Linked DNA regions of Saccharomyces cerevisiae S288C. The gene in region 4 interacts genetically with the main gene of each other region. Each region holds a gene or a part of one and is shown on either strand. Other genes may lie near its edges. The genes, in order: SYH1, ATG42, OPT2 and MRF1.

The links.
Region 1: mutations in MRF1 (region 4) and SYH1 together harm fitness less than expected from each alone (positive genetic interaction), as found in Saccharomyces cerevisiae (one large-scale study listed by BioGRID).
Region 2: mutations in MRF1 (region 4) and ATG42 together harm fitness more than expected from each alone (negative genetic interaction), as found in Saccharomyces cerevisiae (one large-scale study listed by BioGRID).
Region 3: mutations in MRF1 (region 4) and OPT2 are lethal when combined (synthetic lethality), as found in Saccharomyces cerevisiae (one large-scale study listed by BioGRID).

Annotation. Positions count from the first base shown.
Region 1 is NC_001148.4:352,334-356,973, reverse strand, and holds SYH1 (Syh1p), read left to right. Parts: upstream 1-1,561; coding exon 1,562-4,111; downstream 4,112-4,640. Other genes in the region: aspartate--tRNA ligase MSD1, read right to left, coding at 1-1,274.
Region 2 is NC_001134.8:513,051-518,257, reverse strand, and holds ATG42 (carboxypeptidase C), read right to left. Parts: upstream 2,595-5,207; coding exon 1,068-2,594; downstream 1-1,067. Other genes in the region: GTPase-activating protein IRA1, read left to right, coding at 1-908; YBR138C (uncharacterized protein), read left to right, coding at 2,922-4,496; YBR137W (uncharacterized protein), read right to left, coding at 4,675-5,207. UniProt on the Saccharomyces cerevisiae protein: Vacuolar serine-type carboxypeptidase involved in vacuolar zymogen activation, breakdown of the autophagic body, and autophagosome-dependent protein synthesis.
Region 3 is NC_001148.4:923,052-929,555, reverse strand, and holds OPT2 (Opt2p), read left to right. Parts: upstream 1-2,618; coding exon 2,619-5,252; downstream 5,253-6,504. Other genes in the region: YPR195C (uncharacterized protein), read left to right, coding at 1,262-1,591; HPA2 (histone acetyltransferase), read left to right, coding at 6,177-6,504. UniProt on the Saccharomyces cerevisiae protein: Transports tetra- and pentapeptides. Does not transport glutathione.
Region 4 is NC_001139.9:232,809-237,649, reverse strand, and holds MRF1 (Mrf1p), read left to right. Parts: upstream 1-1,691; coding exon 1,692-2,933; downstream 2,934-4,841. Other genes in the region: GPI10 (putative glycosylphosphatidylinositol-alpha 1,2 mannosyltransferase), read left to right, coding at 1-1,381; putative lipase ROG1, read left to right, coding at 3,143-4,841. UniProt on the Saccharomyces cerevisiae protein: Mitochondrial peptide chain release factor that directs the termination of translation in response to the peptide chain termination codons UAA and UAG.

The DNA.
Region 1 (4,640 bases), on a different chromosome or scaffold from region 4:
AGATGTGGGTTTTCAAACGTGGCAATTGCATGAAAATTCTCAAACCAATTTGAATTAGCTTGTTCGTCATTTTCAATTGGTAGCACTATTGGAACTCTATAATTGTAATTACTGTTATTTGTCAGAAACGACCATCGTTCTTTGTACTCTTCCATATTTGAAAAGGCACTTCTTAGAATAATTACTTCAAAAACGGGAAATTTTTTGTTCAAATGACTAAAGGCATTGAACTCGCCTAAATTGATAATCTTCAAATCTGGCGCTCTCAAATCTGGCTTGTCAATACCATATGAGGTCATGGCTTGTTCGTAGGTCATACGAAAGATAGATACTGTGCCGTTTTCCTTTTTCGCAGGCACTAATGTACCCTTACTGTCTAAAGTCAATAATCCTCGTTTTTTGGAAAATTTACTCCATACCCCAGAAACTGTCTTTTCTATGATTTTCATGACATCTTCAGAATTAGCAAAGGCCATTTCCATATCAACCTGTGTAAACTCAGGCTGCCTGTCTGCTCTTAAATCTTCATCTCTAAAGCACCTTGCCATTTGATAATATTTGTTGACACCACTAGCCATTAAGAGTTGCTTGTATTGTTGAGGGCTCTGATCTAGAGCATAAAACGATGGTTTACCATCGGATCTCTTTGTCCTTGTTGGAACCAGAAACTCTCTTGCGCCTTCTGGGGTAGCTTTAAATAACATTGGGGTCTCGACCTCCGTAAAATCAAAATTGTTGAAGGAGTTTCTTATTTCCTTAGAGATAGATGACCTCTTCTTTAAAAAATCTTGATATTTGGGATTTCTCAATTGCAAATAGCGGAACTCAGGTGGGTATATGGCTGACAATTTAAAATCCTGCATTTGCGCTGGTTTTTTATTAGATGCATTTAACACAGTAATATCCTCCAATTGCACTTCGTACTCATCTGCGTCCTCATTTGATAGCTTCCTCTTCAAAGAGAGTATACCTACGGCTTGAACCACATCCTCTAAAGTAAAGCCTTTCAACAACGATTTGTTATCAACCAACTGGATAATGTCACCGTTAGAGTCCCTTAAAAGTCCGAAGATCAAATTTTTCCCAACTCTTTTTGGCTTCTGCTCTATCCATCCATTGAGTACTATTTTCTGGCCGCTAGACAGTCCTTTTAACTGTTTGATGGTCGAGGTGTCCTTCCTAAAGAGAAATTTTTTCTTAATAGCATTGGCTTCTGGAAAGTCTGCCAACCGTCTAGTGATTGTCTGCAAGCACACCCTGGAACGGGCCAACATGATTAAAACTTGTAATGTTTAGTCTTTTCAAAAAAGCATGCACTCAACTGAATCAAAATGTTAAGAAAACATGAATAATGAATAAATGAGGCATTCAATGCCATCTATTACTTCCTACTCCCATTTTCACCTTATTATTGTACTTTGGTACGGCAGTAGCTTTCTGAAATTTCATCTACCAAACTTTGCAAGCACGAAAAAGAAAGCAAAACATTTCATTTACCATGGACGCATGGAGAAGGTCGATTTTGCCACAGCTTGCACAAGATTGGCAGTGGCAGTAAGTGATGAATCCTATCAACTCTCTAGCGTTTGACCTTCACAGTGTTAAACTTGCAGACGCGAACTCAGACACTGCTGCATTATCAAATAGCAATACTCCAACCATGAACAATGCGGCTCTTTTGCAAAGGCCCTCCTCCATTATGGATTCTATTGGCGTCCAAAGAGTTCCATCTCCTTTTGTGCCAGGGAGTAATGCGATTAGTGGAGCCAGTACTGTTCCCTTCAATGCATATGACGCTGAAATTACTGGATCTCCGCTACAAATATCTGCTAATCAGGAAAACAATAGTGCATTTAGTGCAGCATCATCCAACCTGCATATGAACGCCAGCAGCCCTTCCGTTCTCAATAAACCCTCGAGCACATTTCCAAATGTAGCTCCTTATCTCTACAACGCAACAGGGCCTGCCCCCAACGTTGGTAATCAACCCCCACCACCGGGGATAGAATCTCAGTGGAAATACATTGACTCTAATGGTAACATTCAGGGGCCTTTTGGTACCAATAATATGTCACAGTGGTATCAAGGAGGTTATTTTACTCCAACTTTGCAAATCTGTAGATTAGCAACATCTCCTGAGCCATTTGGTGTAAATGATCGGTTTATTAGACTAGGTGAATTGACTACTCTGGTGAATAATTATCAAGACCCTTTTGTCGCCTTTGATTTCATTGTTATTAGAGCTTTGAATGCTGTTCCACTTGTTGCACCAACTTCATCAGAAAAGCAAAAAGTTGAGTCAAGAGATTTGATACCTGTTGCTGATGTGCATAGTGATGATTTTACGTATGAAGAAATCCTTGGCCTTAAATTTGAAGATGGAAGTTACTATCATGAAACTCAGGTTTGGGTTCCGGTTGACGGCCGTCATATCACAAAGGTAGATCGCATACCAAAGATATCTGCATATACCGCTCCTCTATCCACGACTTCTAGTAGATCTAATAAAACCACTTCTTCCCATGAAGAGAAGGTTCCTTCCCACGAGGAAGCTTCTCCAGAGGAGCAAGAGGTTTTTTCAGAAGAGGGCAGAACTGTTTCTAACATAACAAATGAAGAGGAATCTATTGTCAAAAATCCTACTAAGCAGGAGGAAGAATCTCGAGGAAGCGAGAAAGAGCAAAATATATTGGATCAAGTTCAACCAGAGATTGAAGAGGTAGACCGTAAGGATGTAATATCCACTGCTGATGAGCCGAAAAGCAAAGATACGCCGCAAATGACTTCTGAAGAGCAGAAAAGGTTTGCAAAGGCAGAACTGATGGCACAAAAATTATTGGAAGAACAACAAAGACAAGAAGAAGAAAAAAAGAGAAGAGAAGAACAGCGCAAATTAAAGAAGGAGAAAAAATTGAAGCAAAAGCAGAAAAAGGAAGAAGAGAAGTTAAAAAAGAAGAAGAAGGAAGAAGGAAAATTAGAGAAAGAAAAGCAAAAAGAATTGCTAAATAACATTTTAACTGGAGATACAGAAACTCCATCTTCCGAAAACACCGCAACTTCCATAACCACTAATTTGGCGCCTTGGGCTAACAAGAAACCCGAGGGTGCTGTTTATAATCAGATTTCATCTGCTCTTGAAGATTTGAAGAAGGAGAACTCGTCCAAGAAAGAAAAAAAACCTAATCGTACTCAGTTAGATCGTGAGCAGGCATTAAAACTACAGAAAGAAATATTAAGCTCGGCGCAAATTCCGAAAACTCAAACTGGTTCTGCCTGGGGTATAAAGCCACAGCAACCGATCAAAGTTGATATTAAAGGAGAATTGATGAAAGACAGTACCAAAATTAACAGTCAGTCTAAAATTAACAAGGCCAACAATGGTGATATTAAACCAGATTCCACTTTTATTGAAGAGCAGAAAAAGCTGTGGGAACAAGTTCAAAAGAAAACAAAGAAATTCAACCGCGCTTCTTCACTCGATGATTTCATTTCAAGAACGCCTTCCCCATCTTCTTCGGCATTGAACTCTTCGAATACTAGCAATGCGTGGACCACGGTTTCTTCTAAGAGCACAACCCACATCGCTTCCACCATGCCTGTCGCTGGTAACCAGTCAAAGTCATATATCAGTTTGGACACACTGCGTTCTTCTGGGGGGTTATCTACCGCAACAAAAACTAAAATGAGCGATAAGAGTAAACAAATTGGCTCATCCACTAGTATCCCGACTTTAAAGGCCCGTCAAGTTAAACCGTCTCGCATCCCTGCCTATCCCGGTAACGCTTCTGTCTCTAAGCGTCAAGAATTTTTGAGATGGTGCCGATCCCAATTAAAACTAAATACGGGTGTTCAGCCCGATAATGTTTTAGAAATGCTACTTAGCTTGCCCCCAGGTTCAGAATCCAAGGAAATTATCGCAGATACCATATATTCCTACAGTTCAACAATGGACGGTAGGAGATTTGCCACTGATTTCATCAAAAAACGTCTAGAATGCGAAGAAGAAATTAATGACCCCTTGAGCTGGAGTGAAGTATTAGCTATGCCTGAAGGCAGTTCCGAAGACTGGGAATTTCAAGTTGTTGGTAAAAAGAAAGGAAAAAGATTTTGAAGCCTTTTTGTTCCATAGTAGTTGTTTACTACGCGTGTATATCTTCTATTCAATGTATTAACTAGTATAACTCCCATCTATTTGTATAATTAATTGAAATTAAATATCTTGATAACTAATAACAGTACTAAGAACGCTACAATAATATGTTAGCGTGTGCAAACTACCTATAGCTAGTATATCGATTAAATGTTTGAAGCCACATGAATTGAGAAAGGTAAGCACATTTTTCAAATTGCAGAACGTATCATTTAGCGAATCTATCGTCTGTTTGAAGGTTCTTAATGGAGATGAGAAGTGTTTAAGTTGGTTGAGCGCATAATCATTTGTTACGTGTATTTCTTTTCTTTTTTTCTTTTTTTTTTTCGAAGGCAATGAAAAAAGAAATTTAACGAAGATGATTCTAGAAGATTCCTTTTCCAAAGAGCACTACTTGTCAATATAACCTTAGTGATAAAAGTTACTGTCCATTTTAAACTCCCTCTGTCTTGATTTTTCTTCTTATAACTCAGTTAGTTCTGATTCTTAT
Region 2 (5,207 bases), on a different chromosome or scaffold from region 4:
TACTCTTTGAAGGTGGTCTCCTGTTCATGGTAAATTGTTTGAAGCGACTGTACACGGTCCATCTTCAACTTGGATTCGATGGCAAATCGCTAGCCAAAAAATTAATGGAATCTAGAAATTTTGCTGCTACGCTTTTGGCTAAGTTAGAGTCATACAATGGATGCATATGGAACGAAGATAATTTTCCTCATATTATTTTAGGTTTCATTGCAAACGGTTTATCCATTCCTGTCGTAAAAGGAGCCGCATTAGATTGTCTACAGGCCCTTTTCAAGAATACATATTACGAAAGAAAGTCCAACCCAAAATCCTCCGATTATCTTTGTTACCTTTTCTTACTCCATTTGGTCTTAAGTCCTGAACAACTTTCTACCTTGTTACTTGAAGTCGGCTTCGAAGATGAACTGGTACCTTTAAATAATACACTAAAAGTGCCACTTACTTTGATCAACTGGCTAAGTTCAGACTCAGATAAATCTAATATAGTCTTATACCAAGGAGCACTTTTGTTTAGCTGTGTTATGTCAGACGAACCATGTAAATTCCGTTTTGCTCTATTGATGAGGTATTTGCTCAAAGTCAACCCTATTTGTGTATTCAGGTTCTATACGCTGACTAGAAAGGAATTCAGGAGGTTATCAACCCTAGAACAATCATCTGAAGCGGTTGCTGTCTCTTTTGAATTGATTGGGATGCTTGTTACACACAGTGAGTTTAATTACCTAGAGGAATTTAATGATGAAATGGTCGAACTTTTAAAAAAGAGAGGCTTGTCAGTTGTGAAGCCTCTGGATATTTTTGATCAGGAACATATAGAAAAGTTAAAAGGAGAGGGTGAACATCAAGTGGCAATTTATGAGAGAAAAAGATTAGCAACAATGATACTGGCAAGAATGTCGTGCTCCTAATTTTAAATTAGAGTATTGCAGTGATTATATACGTTTTTCCTTATAATTATATTTTGTTTTATATTTGTTGGATTGTAGATTTTAAATTAAATGAAACGTAGAGATTTGTGTAAAGTATAATGATTGCAAGGTTAAGAGTGAAACATTTTTAGAGCACTACTAACTAGCATTTTCCAAGGTGGAAAGATCCGAAAAAGCACGATTACCGGAAATCCAACTGTTGACCATTTCCAAACTTGCCTCCGGTTGATCATAGGGCACCATATGACCGGCATCGTATATTCTCAAAAAGGTGAAAGGGCCATAGTTCTTGACTTGTCCCAACTCTTCACCTGTTTCTTTACTGACCCATGGTCTTAACATCCTTCTCTGATACCTACGTTTATTGATCCATTCCAACTCATTGGACCAAGCATGGTTTCCCAGCCAATTACAAATATAATCCTTATCACCCGCATATATTAATACCGGAATGTTGTGATTTAATAATTCAGCAATATATTGTTGAAATGGTTTACTTCCATCGCCCGTAAACAAAAATCCGGTGAACACGTCATTATCACAGCCAGAATAATTATGCACGTCGGACCCTAGCGTTTCTTGAACTTCAGGAAAATTCATATACTGGTCGACATAGCGGAGACCTGTATAACACATACCATCAGTACTATTATCTTCACAGGGCCCTCTAATGTCATAGACGTTGAGTCCTGTGTTAATGTACGGTTCCAAAAGTGCAGAGTCACAGTAAGCAGTGGCGACTATGCATGGTAAACTTGATTTAGAAGCATAACATAACTTGTTCAACCTACGACAACGACCTGCAGCTTTACTCATTTTCTCACATTCTTCTGATGAGAGAACAGGGTGATAGCCCCCTTTCCCGCATGCCATTGGTTCATAATAATCTGCTTGAATCAAAGGGTCTGTGATACCATTACCAATCATAACTGAAGTTAAATTGAACGTTCTTTCAGGGTTCTTGACAACGATCTCATGTGCAATTTGAGGGATATAATGTCCTGCATAGGATTCGCCTGCAATGTGGAAATCGTTGGAGCGTAAATGAGGAAAAGCTTCAAAAAACAATTCCAGGAAAATGTACGCATCTTTGCCTGCTAATTTTGTAGAGGAGACTTTTTCATCACCATAGGAAAAGCCGACTCCGAGTGGCTGTTCTAAGAAGATCATTGAAGCGTTATTATTCCAAGAATAGGGATTGTGGATTGGTTTCATATCGGCGCCAATTGATGAGGGGCCTAGTTCAAATAGCAACCCAGTAAACGAGGAACAACCAGGTCCACCATTTAACCAAAGAATAATTGGGTCGTTAGCAGGATCGTTCCTACTTTCAAAAAACCAGTAAAAAAAGTGTTTGGAATCCTTATAGTCCATGTAACCCGACCATTGTTTTACGGTGTCAATTCCTAGTTTAGAAGGATCTACTGTTCTAAGTCTCAAACTGTAATCTGTGTCCACAGAAGAAATAAAAGTTGTAAACAGCGGATCATCGTGATTCAAACGGTCCAATTTAAGGGTTTGCTGTGTATTCTGTGGAAGCTTTAGCTGTTTATCCAAATTGGCAAAGGTGGTATCATCTTCAAAAAGAGAAAAGGCTCGGCCGAATGAGGCGTATTTGATGCTAATAAGAAGCTGAAGCACGAAAACTAAGTTTAGATACTTCATTGTATGTCGGTATCACTTTTTGTATAGCTGTTTTAAAGAAAAAATGCAGGATGACAATTTTCGTTCTTATATAACCCCTGTCCCCTGACATTTTTCGATAACGAAGCGTTATCTCACCTTTCGTAGAATGCTAGCGCCGCCTCGGCCATTTTTAGGAAATTTCCTAAATCGCTCACATTGTAAACAAGAACATCTTAGAGAACTCTAAGCACTTTTAGAAAAAAGGATTATACTAAACGAGTCAAAAACTATTTATCCAACAAGTCACAGATTGGAATAGTCTCGAAAACTTGATCCAACCACTAATTAAAAGGTTAAAATTAAAGGATGGAGAAAGATCAAATCCAGCCTAGGGTGTTGGAGTCAGTAGACACAAACTCATTATCCTTGCTTTCGTCCAATACCAGCTCAAATATGAATAGCAACACCAACAATAAACTCAGTATAATTGCCAGTGATATTTCTACAGGATCCGTACTTTCCAGGCCCTTGACTCCTCCAGTCGTCCAGGATATAGAGAATAACTCCATGTTACAATGGCAATTTGAAAAGAAGGAATTTATCTTCGATAGTAACAGCACTCCTTCGAAGCAGGCAAAACCATTGCAGAGAAATTCTCCATACCAAGGCAATAGTCAAAGTGAAAATCAGAACCAACAGTTATTGAATGTAAGAAAGCGTCGCTCACAATTGATAGGTGCCAAGCCTAAAATTCCATCCAAATTGTACCAATCTGTTTCCAAATTAGATCTAATTGATGACAAGAGCTTTACGTCTTTGCCAATTGCGCCTCCATGCAATATCGAAACTAATGAAGATGACAGTGGAAACAACGAATACAACAACAATAAAAAACGGCCCAGGTTGAATCCTGTAAATGAACTGCGAGTGCATAACAACAAACGTAATAGGTACGTCAGTTATGGGCCGAGTTTAGATACAAAAAACTACGAGCTAACAGAAAATACTTCTCAGGATATACCACCGCTAGTCCTGGTTGAAGACTACATACCGTATACCCAAAGTAAATCAACAAAAAAAATGGTATCTATTTCAGATTTGAAATCAAAACTAAGTAAAAGAAGAGATAATCATATCCCGCTGAGAGTAAAAAATTCATATTCTGAAATTAATAAGGAAACCAATAGAAATAGCTTTGAACCGAATTCACTAACACTGATACCCCATATATTAAGGAATACTGAAGAAAATAGGGACGAAAGTAACAACCCCTTAGATTTTATCAAAGAGGAAATTGAAATAAGTGATATTTCCATACCAAATTCCATTGAAAATATGGTGGTTAACTTGGTTAATATTCCATCTTCCAATAAAAGTTACGATGATCTTTATCTATCGGAATTAAATGTTCATTCCCAACTGAGGAAATGTGTCATCTGCGAAAAGGCCCTATATGAAATTAGCTCGAGACTTTTAAATTCAGGATACTATAAAGAAATTGTATGTGAGCAATGCACAGTTAGATATGAAGAAGCCGCTAAAATCTTTGAGAACTGCGAGTTCGAATCATCTATGGATGAATCAAATCTAAGCAGCGGTACTTTTAGTGATCTAGAGAATTCAGCAGAACCGTTTCATTTATCGACAGATGTTCCAAAAAAAATAAATAGGCACATAGAAGATAACAAGATCGACCTTAAAAAGGAAATATCAAAAAAAAAGGACAGCTTCTCTAAGGAACTAATAGAACGATTGCAGTTGCAATTGCTAGAAAATGATAAGTCAATCAAACATCATTTTAATAAAGATGCAATGGGCTCTAAATCAATGAATTGGTTTTTGGAAGCAAGAAGAAAATTGAAGTGGAAGTGGAGAATAAATGGTTTACTTCCGCATTTCTTACGCAATCAAAATAGTGATCGTTTAAATTTTCAACCTTGAAAATACATTGCTAAGAGATCACTAAAACAAACAGGACTGCATTGGTGCTGTGTATTTTTTCAAGGGCAAAACAATCAATATATATATGAAAAGCTTACGACTAAATAACAGTTATACTAGTAACGGGTAAAAAATATTCTATGGTGTTCAAGCCTCTATTTTACTTCTACCTACATTCTCAATCCAAATTCAAATCTTCTTCTAGACTTTCATTAGCAAATGCAATTAAAGAGCTGACTGCCATTAAATGGTCTTCTTCCTGCTTCAATCCACTTATAGTTAAGCAGGCATAGGGGTAGTCACTTCTCTCCGATTGTATTAGGACAGCACCTCCATGGAAAGCGTATTCTTTTGAGTCCACAAAAAACTTTTCCTCCGGTGTTTTGTCACCTTTCTTGCAGCCCATATAGAAACTTGAATGACCAAATCGAAGCGCTGTCTTCTTCTTTCTCTGGATCCAAAAATCATTGTCCAATGCACTGCCACCGTAGGTCACTGTGCGAAACAAGCAATGCCCATTTGGTAAGGAGATATCAATTGCAACTGGTTTTTCGGGGAAATTTTCTTTAACTGCATTTCTTATGTAAGTCCCCAAATCAAAGGCATCTTGATATGTAAAAGTAGACAAAAAGCATCGTTTTTCCATATCTTCGAGCTCTTCTAAGGGAACCTTACGAGAAGTCAATCTTTCCAATAACTTCTTGTCTAAAA
Region 3 (6,504 bases), on a different chromosome or scaffold from region 4:
TCAGACTAACATGATGTTAGCAACGAGAGTTTCGTAACTAGAAATGCCAACAAATAAACTTTGTGGAAAAAAAAATCTTGCAGTAGTAGTAAAAAGCATGAAACATATTACCCACCTAATCTTGGCCTCATCTTAATTACAACAATTATAGTTCCATAAATTTAAGACCCGCGCCTGTAATAATGCTGACGCCTATCATGAATTTCTCTTCTTCTACGAAATTATGGCGACAGTAGTCTACCCTATGGACTTTCATATAAAAAAGTTCACATTTCATTTGATAATACAACTATTATTTGCGCTAAATCTGTATTACCATCCTTTCCATATATTACTTTTCAAACTCACCTGTTAGATGTCTCTTTAACAATTTGGTCCTTCTAATATATCTTACCTTGCTTTCCTTATTCGTAATATTTGCCATGCCAGAGAATCTCTGAAATGCAAAGTTTATACTTTAAAAGGGTTATTTTTGAATTTGGTAATCCTAAGCATTAGTAGATATTCTTTCACTTATTTTTTGGAAATTGTTTCGCTAGATTACTCGTGCACGCAAAAATAAATGTTTCTTGGATCCGATGAGGCGTCACAACTTGCCGCGTCTGCTGTCATTGACTTTTACCCGCTAGAGCAGTAATGAAAAAGACGTTTTTAATAAACTTACCTGCTCAACTTTAGACTTTAGCATCGAAAATTATGGGTCGTTTAGATAAATAATGAAGTTATTCTAAGCCGCACGTAGTAACAAATCTTGAAGTAAAGGACACCAAAAATTGTATTCCGTGCTGTGGAATGTTGGTGCCAGCATTAATCGAATGGTCCATTTCTTTTCTTACCTTTTTGAAGGAACTGATCCTTCAATTCATATTTTTCACTAACGAAAGAAAATAAAGATTTAGTAGGATACCAAGTACTAAAAGCAAAAAAAGAGTATAGTATTTACATAATCTACATATGTGCAAAGGCTCCTCCTTATTTAGAGAAGAAACTTTCCCTTTCCTTAACCGATGCGGTAATTCAACACGTGAATTTCAGCTATTTTAAGTTTGTTTGGTATTCACAGTTCAGAATATTTCTTTTTGAGTCAGCTCATTTCACGTATTTGCAATGTATGTCATTTAGTTGAGATGATAATGAAAGAGCCCCACGCGCTGGTGCGATCTATGATGAAAAATGTAAATACGAAACTTTACTAAAAATAAATAGGGCAGAATATAGATAAGCAAGAATAGAAAGATCACAGATTTGACTGCACAGTCAAATGAATTCTCTCATCCCTCTTTTAGTGGAAGCATCAACATACATTGTAAGAGGAGAAAGCAGCATCTCAATTGCCATTGGAATAGGGCCTCAAGCTAGCAGGAGTGTGCCGTACCACATTCTTTGCAGGGGATGTGACGGCACGGTAACAACTTTTCGTACGTGGCATACGCAACCACTCGGGCCTTGCAATACAATCATCATAGGCAGAAAAGGTAATGAGACAACCGGCGGCGCAGAACAGAGGAGGCAGCAGCACTTAACGTCTGATTCAGCAACAAAAGCGTCATTGGTGGGTTTTTGTGGGCTGTATTATTATTTCAGGAAATAGTAACTGAACGTGTCAACTTTGCATTAACGCGTTTTTCCTATTTGGGTACGGAGATATTTATGTTTTGATAAGCAAATGCTTCAATTGTGCCGTGCGCATCATCAATCCCACTCACTGAGGAACTCTATAATGAAAAAAAAACAAACAGGCAAAAGCAGATAGACCAATAATTGATATCTGATTTTTCACAAAAAATGCAGGAGAGATCAGCATTAAACGGATCCATCACATCCACCGGACGAATCCGTCTCAAATATGGCAGCCACGCTGGTGTGACACATAATATTACTGCAACACTTCTTATCTCATTATTTTTATCATGGTAAAAGAAGTCAACACTATGCGAGGAATACCAAAAGAAAATTTGGTTCACATCATGGTGTCAGTAAAAGCAACCGACAAAAATCGGGGGGTTGCTGTCCGACGTAGTTTCTTCGTTATAATTTTCAATAATCCCACATTTCGTTGTTAACCTTTTGCAAAAATTGATGTAGTTTGTTTTCCTCTTGGCCCCTGTTGTGGTTACCGAACACGTGAATCGCCATTGCGGTTGTCAATATCAGCCCATTGGGTTTTATGAAGATTCGTAACACCTTCGATTATTTAAGTTTATTCTCTTATCTACAATAATAATAGCGTTCTTTTACAATTGGACGCTGTTATCTTACTTCTGAATGTTCATGGATTGGAAATTTTCAATCATTTCACGAATTATTAGCAATGAAGATAAGTAACATTAAAAAAAATATTGATATCAACTTGCTAGGTTTCTTCTCGCTTCAAAAAAATTTATAAATGGGAATGGAACACTATCCTGTGTAAACTTAAGTCATGTCTCAAGTCAGTTGTTACTTATATTCATTCCTATCGAAACATCCCAAAAAATAATATTTGAAACACTTACAATCATACATTGAACGTCTAAACAACGGCGGCATTTTTTTAATAGCAGAAACGAACATATTAGCTTATTCTACAACTAGTAGGGTTTGTTATACGCAATATTGCTGTTGAATTATTAGAAATTATGAGTGAAACAGTCAAAGATAAAGTTATAATTGATGAGAAGGTATCCACAAAAGGTACTGTTGATTACGCCGAGGGTGCTGAGTATTCTGAGAGGCTTTCAAATCATTCATCAGACTTTTCTCAGTGGTATACGGATGAACAGATACTGCACTTTATGAAGAAGCTGGGTTATGAAAATCGCACTCTTTATGATATTCCGGAAGACGTTGCGTATATCCTCAAAAAAATGCCTGAATTGACACTTGAGGATTCCTTCAAAATACTAAAAGACTCTATCATCTATTTCAAGGATGATGAGAACATTCCACACGATCAATATGAGGAGTGGAAGAGATTGGTTGACTTGGAGGACTTGGATTCAAAAGAGGGGATAGATGAATATGATAGCTTTGACATTAGAGCATTTGCTTCTGCTATTAAATTTCATTCGCCTTACCAAGAGGTTAGAGCTGTTGTTGATCCAGAAGATGATCCCACCATTCCAGTGGAGACATTCCGAGCATATTTTCTGGCAATAATTTGGTCTGTCATCGGTTCAGGATTTAATGAGTTTTTTTCACACAGGGTGGTTTCAATTTCACTGAATACTCCAATTATCCAAATGTTTTTATATATCTGTGGTAAGGCTTGGGCTAAAACTATCCCCTGTTGGACTATAACCATCAGGGGCAGAAAGTATGGTATCAATATCGATAAACCATGGACCCAAAAAGAGCAAATGTTTTCAACCTTGTTATATGCAATTTGTCAAGGCGCGTTCTATACTCATTACAATATTCTAACGCAAAAACTCTTTTACCATTCTGCTTTCTCGTTTGGCTACCAATTTTTACTTTCGTTATCCGTACAATTTATTGGATTTGGATTTGCTGGCATCCTTAGAAAATTCGTTGTTTATCCAGCCCGTGCACTATGGCCAACAGTCATGCCAACTATTGCTATCAACAAGGCACTATTGGGTAAAGAAAAGCATGAATCTGGAATGAGCAGGTATAAATTCTTTTTCTTGACTTTTTTTATCATGTTCATCTATAACTGGTTTCCCACTTACATTATTAATATTCTAAACACTTTCAATTGGATGACCTGGATCAAGCCAAGTAACATTAATCTCGCAAACATCACGGGAGGAGTCACTGGTCTTGGGATTAATCCTATCTCATCTTTTGACTGGAATGTTATTTCGTTTAATTCTCCTTTAGTTTACCCATTTTGGTCATACTTAACACAATATCTTGGTTGCATATTAGCAGCTTTAATTGTTATTGCAGTATACTATAGTAATTATATGAGTTGCCAATACCTGCCAATATTCACAAATTCTTTGTATACTAATACTGGCCATTCCTTTAAAGTTACTGAGGTATTAGACAGTGACAATAAGCTAGATGTGAAAAAATATCAAAGCTACTCGCCACCATACTATAGTGCTGGAAATTTGGTATCATATGGTGCTTTCATTTGCGCATATCCTCTGATGATTACATGGTCGTTTATTGTACACTCAAAGTTATTGTTCAATGCTTTCAAAGATTGGGCTTTGAATTTGTGGGCCATGAGAAAACTTAAATCTTGGGTCACAATGTTCAAAAGCGATTACAGGGCGCTCGACGATTATGATGACCCACATTCTAATGCCATGAAAAACTATAAAGAAGTTCCAGATTGGTGGTATTTTGCCATATTGATAGGTTCACTTGTTGTTGGAATAGCTGTTGTAGAGCACTACCCAACAAATACACCAGTTTGGGGTCTTTTTGTTTGTTTAGGATTTAATTTTGTTTTCTTGATTCCAACTACTATCCTTCAAGCAACCACTGGTTATTCGTTTGGTTTGAATCTACTAATTGAAATGGTGATGGGGTACGCTTTACCAGGTAATCCAATCGCCATAATGATTTTGAAGGCTTTTGGTTATAACATCGACGGCCAAGCAGATAATTACGTTTCTAACTTAAAAATAGCGCATTATTGTAAGATTCCGCCAATGGCGCTATTCAGGGGACAATGTGTTATAGTTTTCATTCAGATATTTGTCAATCTAGGTGTTCTGAATTGGCAAATCTCCAATATCAAAGACTTTTGCACACCTCATCAAAACGCAAAATTCACCTGTCCTGATGCTGTGACCTACTATAATGCTTCCGTTGTCTGGGGTGCAATTGGGCCAAAAAGAATTTTCAATTACATTTATCCAATATTTAAATGGTGTTGGTTGATAGGCGCATGCATTGGCATATTTTTTGGTGTTTGGAAGCGCTGGGGTAAGTTTTATCCCAGATATTTTGACCCAATGTTATTTGTAGGTGGAATGCTTAATATGAGCCCTCCATATAACCTGATGTATTACACTTCTGGTATGATTGTTAGTTACATTTCCCAGTACTACATGAAAAGACACCATTTAAATCTGTGGGAGAAATATAATTATGTTTTATCGGCAGGCTTTTCAACGGGCTTGGTTTTATCAGCTATTATCATTTTCTTTGCTGTCCAATATAAAGACACAGCTTTTAATTGGTGGGGCAATACAGTTCCGTATGCTGGTGCCGATGGCGTTGGCTATCCTCTAAAGAACATAACTGATACAGCAAATGGCTATTTCGGCTATGCTCCAGGACACTATCCATGACTAGAACTTTTCTTAGAACGCTATCATTTCTTTATTTTTTTTTCTCCCCTGCACTTGTCTTTTCTATCAGTCACCTGCATGTATTTAGTTTTTATTCTTCTATCTATAGTACAGAGTTACTTTGATATGTAAAAAGCCATCATTTTGTCTTCATACCTGCCAAAACTATAACAGTACACTCTAGTTCAATATTTTTGACACTTTTCATGCTTCTCGCCTTTTCTCTGTGTATGCGGATGTTATCAATAAAGAAAAATGCTTTGATACCAGAATAGGAACTACATTTTTTTTTGGCTCATCGACGAAGTGATAAGGAGCCTGGCAATTGAAAATCAATCAAGAATATTTTTTGCTTCCAACTACAAGTAATGATGGTGTTTATTTTGCATGAATTTTGGTATTATTGCAGAAATACAAGTGGTAAATAGTTTTGTAAACGTATATTTCAAGTTGGAATGAGATGCGTTGCACTACTGGATAATTACTCCGGTTGAAGCATATTCAAATACAGTATCACCGTTTTTTGGGATGATTCAGGGTTAAGCCAGCCGAGTATTGAGAGAGATTGACAACATAGCATGCGGCTGATGTCAGATTTCGAACATTTGAAATTTTCTTGCCTTTATAAGACGTTTGCGAAATACAAGTTACAGGCCGACTACACAATGTATTTATTTCTATTTAATTTCTGCATTGGGTTAGCCTTTTAACGTCATAGTTCATTGTACTTCTCAGTCACTTCTTGATTTGCTTTTATTGGTTGAACATTTTTATGGACGGAACTAACGGGTGGCAAGAACTACCAATTATATTAGGGGAGCGGCAATCATTAAGAGAGGGAACGCTATAAATAGAGCAAAAAGGGCTAAGTATTGCTCTTAGTATTTTATATGCCAAGAAAGCAAACAGCCCTTTCTGTGTAGCATGTCCAACACTAGCGAAGATAACATTACCGTAAGGTTTGTAACCGAAAACGATAAGGAGGGTTGGCAAAGGCTTTGGAAATCCTATCAAGATTTTTATGAAGTCTCTTTTCCCGATGACTTGGACGATTTCAATTTCGGCAGATTCCTAGATCCTAACATTAAAATGTGGGCAGCCGTAGCTGTGGAAAGTTCGAGCGAAAAAATTATTGGAATGATAAACTTTTTCAACCATATGACTACTTGGGATTTCAAGGACAAGATATACATCAACGATCTCTATGTTGATGAGAATTCTAGGGTCAAAGGCGCGGGCGGCAAACTAATCC
Region 4 (4,841 bases):
AAGATTTGTTCAAAAGCTCTATTTACTTACACTTGATAAGAGAAACGAGAAGGAGGAAGAGGAGAGACGCAGCGGTTTATCCGAGATTACGAAGTTTGCACTGCTTTTAAGTTTAACTAATTTTTTTAATTGCTTTTTTATTACAAGAACGTTCATCAACTCTTTTGAAATGATTTTAACTTCTATTGCCCTCTACTACTGGGACTGGACAGGCGGACAAATGATAAAAGAGTCATCTTTTACTAAGTCGCTTATTTTTGCATTTCTGGCATGTTTGCAAAGACCCAGCAGTGGACTTATTTGGGTAATTCCCAGCATTTCCCTAATATTAAACTTGGTAGGCAAAAAGCAGTATCATTTACTTTTCATCACATTTTCCAAAGTTTTACGGTCTTTTTTTCTGGTATTTACTGCAAATGCAATTATCGACATGTATTTTTATGAAAAAGTAACGTTTCCCTTTTTCCGATTTCTAAAATTCAATTTCACAACACCATTATCAAAGTTTTATGGGGTAGCTCCTTGGCATTTTCATTTCTTTCAAAGCTTACCTATCGTATTAGGTGCAAGTATTCCCGCTTTTGCATTTGGATTATTTTTTCCACTAAGCAAAAGGAGTTTCCCAAAGAAGTATTTAAACCCGTTTTTCCAAGTGAAACTCACTATCTTGTTGAATCTGTTGGTGTACTCTACGTTACCTCATAAGGAATTTAGGTTCATCTTCCCATTACAGCCACTTTTCATATTAATATCATCATTTGGCCTTTTGAGACTTGATAGAGATTATTGGAAAAGACTATCTGGCCTAAAATCTTTACTCTGGCTTGTTCCATTCGTGTCGGTGTTCATCGCATTACTTTTGGACACATTCCACGAATCTGGATCTATCGAAGTTATGAAATTTTTACATGAAGAGCCAGAAATAGATAGTTTGGGATTCATAATGCCCTGTCATTCGACACCTGGTCAAAGCTATTTACACCGCAGTGACATTCAAGATCTGTGGTCGATTACTTGTAACCCTCCATTGCATTTACTTGGAGACCCAGAGGCTTACTCCAAACTAGAGACCTACATGGATGAAAGTGACCATTTGTATGACGATATATCGGCATTCATTTACAAAAATTTCCCACCGCCTTTTCGTAAGGATCTAAGGAGTCCAGGTAAAACATACAGCCACGAATGGCCAACATATTTGGTTGTTTTCGAGCACATGGAAAACGCATTTCTAAAGGATTTCCTGAAAGATTCATCATACATTGAATACAATAGATTCTTCAACTCTCTTGCGCACTGGGATTCAAGAAGATCAGGAGACATAATAATTTATTATAAATTACCATTCGATTATAGCGATATTCCAGCGGCAGATATTTAAATTTGTGTATTCTTCACTTATCAGTTTACTTCATTTCGCGAAAAAGCCTTTAATTATTAGTGATTTATTTACTACATGATATTAATATATGTGTATAATTATGCAATAAGGCCTCTCAGAAAATATATGTGTTACTTCTCGTTGTGCCATCTGTACTAGGCTGAGTAATTGTGTATTTCATATACTTGTTAGGAGGATTTGCTCGCTCGGAGGATAAATACAGAGCGTTAATAGTGCGTATCATATGTTTTATAATATCTCAGGAATGAAAAGTTCGTAGAGCAGAACAATATATTTCATTGGTGCAAGCATGTGGCTTTCAAAGTTCCAGTTCCCCTCGAGGTCCATCTTTAAGGGTGTTTTTTTGGGTCACAAGTTGCCGTTACTAGTGCGACTGACATCAACAACGACTAACTCTAAGAGCAACGGCAGCATCCCAACACAATACACAGAACTCTCTCCGTTACTTGTTAAGCAAGCGGAAAAGTATGAAGCTGAACTAAAAGATCTTGACAAAGACCTTTCTTGCGGCATTCATTTTGACGTGAATAAGCAGAAACATTATGCTAAATTATCAGCGCTCACTGATACATTTATTGAGTATAAGGAAAAACTAAATGAATTGAAAAGTTTACAAGAAATGATTGTATCTGATCCATCATTAAGGGCGGAGGCTGAACAAGAATATGCAGAACTGGTCCCCCAATATGAAACGACCTCCTCAAGATTGGTAAATAAACTTCTTCCACCGCATCCGTTCGCAGATAAACCTAGCTTACTAGAGCTTCGACCGGGTGTAGGTGGCATTGAAGCCATGATTTTTACCCAGAATCTATTGGATATGTATATTGGCTATGCCAACTATAGAAAATGGAAGTATCGAATTATATCGAAAAATGAAAACGAAAGTGGGTCAGGCATTATCGATGCCATTCTGAGCATTGAAGAAGCCGGATCTTACGATCGTTTGAGGTTTGAAGCAGGCGTTCACAGGGTGCAGAGAATTCCTAGTACGGAGACTAAAGGAAGGACGCACACATCCACTGCTGCCGTGGTTGTGTTACCTCAAATTGGTGACGAATCTGCTAAATCTATTGACGCTTATGAAAGAACATTTAAACCTGGTGAAATCAGAGTTGACATCATGCGTGCAAGCGGGAAAGGTGGTCAACATGTGAATACGACAGACTCTGCTGTCAGATTAACCCATATCCCCTCTGGAATTGTTGTTTCCATGCAAGATGAAAGATCTCAACACAAGAATAAGGCTAAAGCATTTACGATCTTAAGAGCGAGACTTGCAGAGAAGGAAAGGCTGGAAAAGGAGGAAAAAGAAAGAAAAGCAAGAAAGAGTCAGGTTTCTAGCACCAATAGGTCTGATAAAATTAGAACATACAATTTTCCACAGAACAGAATCACTGATCATAGGTGCGGGTTCACATTGTTGGACCTGCCAGGTGTGTTATCTGGAGAACGATTGGACGAAGTTATTGAGGCAATGTCTAAATATGATAGCACCGAACGGGCAAAAGAATTATTGGAGAGTAACTGACGAACGTAACTTTTCGTTTCTTGTAAATATCATATCGTATCTATCACTTCTGTAAATCTTCTTTTCTATTGTTCTGCGCCACGTAAGAACTGACGCACATAGTAGATGCCCGAAATATGCAAAACTCTGTGAAATAAATTGTACCGCCTCAACAGTTCAGTAAGAATAGTACACAAAGAGAGTGAAGTACGAACCGTGTTTTGCTCAAGATGTCTCTGACACCAACTAATGAAATATTGTTTCATTACAAGTCTTCAGTGAAGGTTGGTGAACTTGAGAGATATGTAATTACTTATCATCTTTATGACGGTGAGGAAATTCCACCAGATTTGAATTTAAATTCCTTGTGGTTAAAGGTGAGAAATATGAATCCGTTATCGTATAGAGCTGCGTACCTAATGGGTCCATTCATGCTTTATTGCGATGTAAAAACTGCCCAATATCATCATTCCCAAAAAATAGTTGCTTCAGTTGATTACCCCAAATTTGAACCGAATGTGCAAACTCAACAAGATTTCGTGGCTGAACTTTCAGTACATAACATACGACAGAAATACGTATGGATTGCTGATGTGATGAGTCAAATATTGTTCACTACAAATACGAACGTCACTTACGAAGTCACTATTGGAACTAGTAAAGAGTCAGTAGAAAATCCGCATGATCTGCCATCTCATCTAGGTTCTTATAGCCCTAAACTTACAGTGAACAGGTTAACTACCTTGGATTTGTGGAATCTTCCCGTTCAGATTACCACACCACAGAAAAAGAAACATCTTGTAGTTTTGACACATGGTTTACATTCTAATGTGTCGACCGATCTAGTGTATATTATGGAACAGATATACAAAGCACAAAAGAATTATCCCCACGAACAAATTGTTGTGAAAGGTTATAGGGGAAATGTCTGTCAAACTGAGAAGGGAGTTAAGTATTTAGGTACTCGTTTGGCCGAATATATTATCCAGGATTTGTACGATGAATCCATCCGCAAGATTTCTTTTGTAGGTCATTCATTGGGTGGCCTAATCCAGGCTTTCGCAATAGCGTACATTTATGAAGTCTACCCTTGGTTTTTTAAAAAGGTGAATCCAATAAATTTTATTACTTTAGCTTCACCGCTTTTAGGTATAGTCACAGATAATCCCGCCTATATTAAAGTACTACTTTCATTCGGGGTTATTGGAAAAACAGGTCAAGACTTGGGTTTGGAAAATGATGTTGAAGTAGGCAAACCGCTTCTCTACTTGCTATCTGGTCTGCCCTTGATAGAGATTTTGCGTAGGTTCAAAAGGAGGACAGTATATGCGAACGCTATTAATGACGGAATTGTCCCATTGTATACCGCATCGCTATTGTTCCTAGACTATAATGATATCTTGGAGCAATTACAGAAACTAAAGGAGAACAGCAAAAAATCACCGCTAATAAATGATGCTTCAACACCTGTGAATCAAGATTTCTTCAATAAAACTTTCATTTCGCCTCTGACTAAAATGTTGAGTATACTGGCGCCACAAAAGTTTCCTACGGAGAATGGTTCCGAAATTCCTAAAGTATCATTTTTCGAGTCAGCAAGCTCAATTCTCCTTCCTCCTTTACCTGAAAGAGCGTACATAATGGATCCAGATTCAAGAGATCCTGTAATTATTCATGATAAGATATACAATGAGGATGACATTCCACAATCCGAATTTGATATCGAAGACGGTTTTTTTGGTAAAAAGAATATACTCCTTCAGGCTTTTTTTGCAGGAAAGAAAGAACGTGCGAAGTATCGAAATTTGGAAGAAACGATTGCTCGAAGGTGGCATGAAGGAATGGCATGGAGAAAGGTTGTCGTTGCTTTAAAACCTGACGCTCACAACAACATTATAGTCCGAAGAAAGTTTGCCAACGCATACGGTT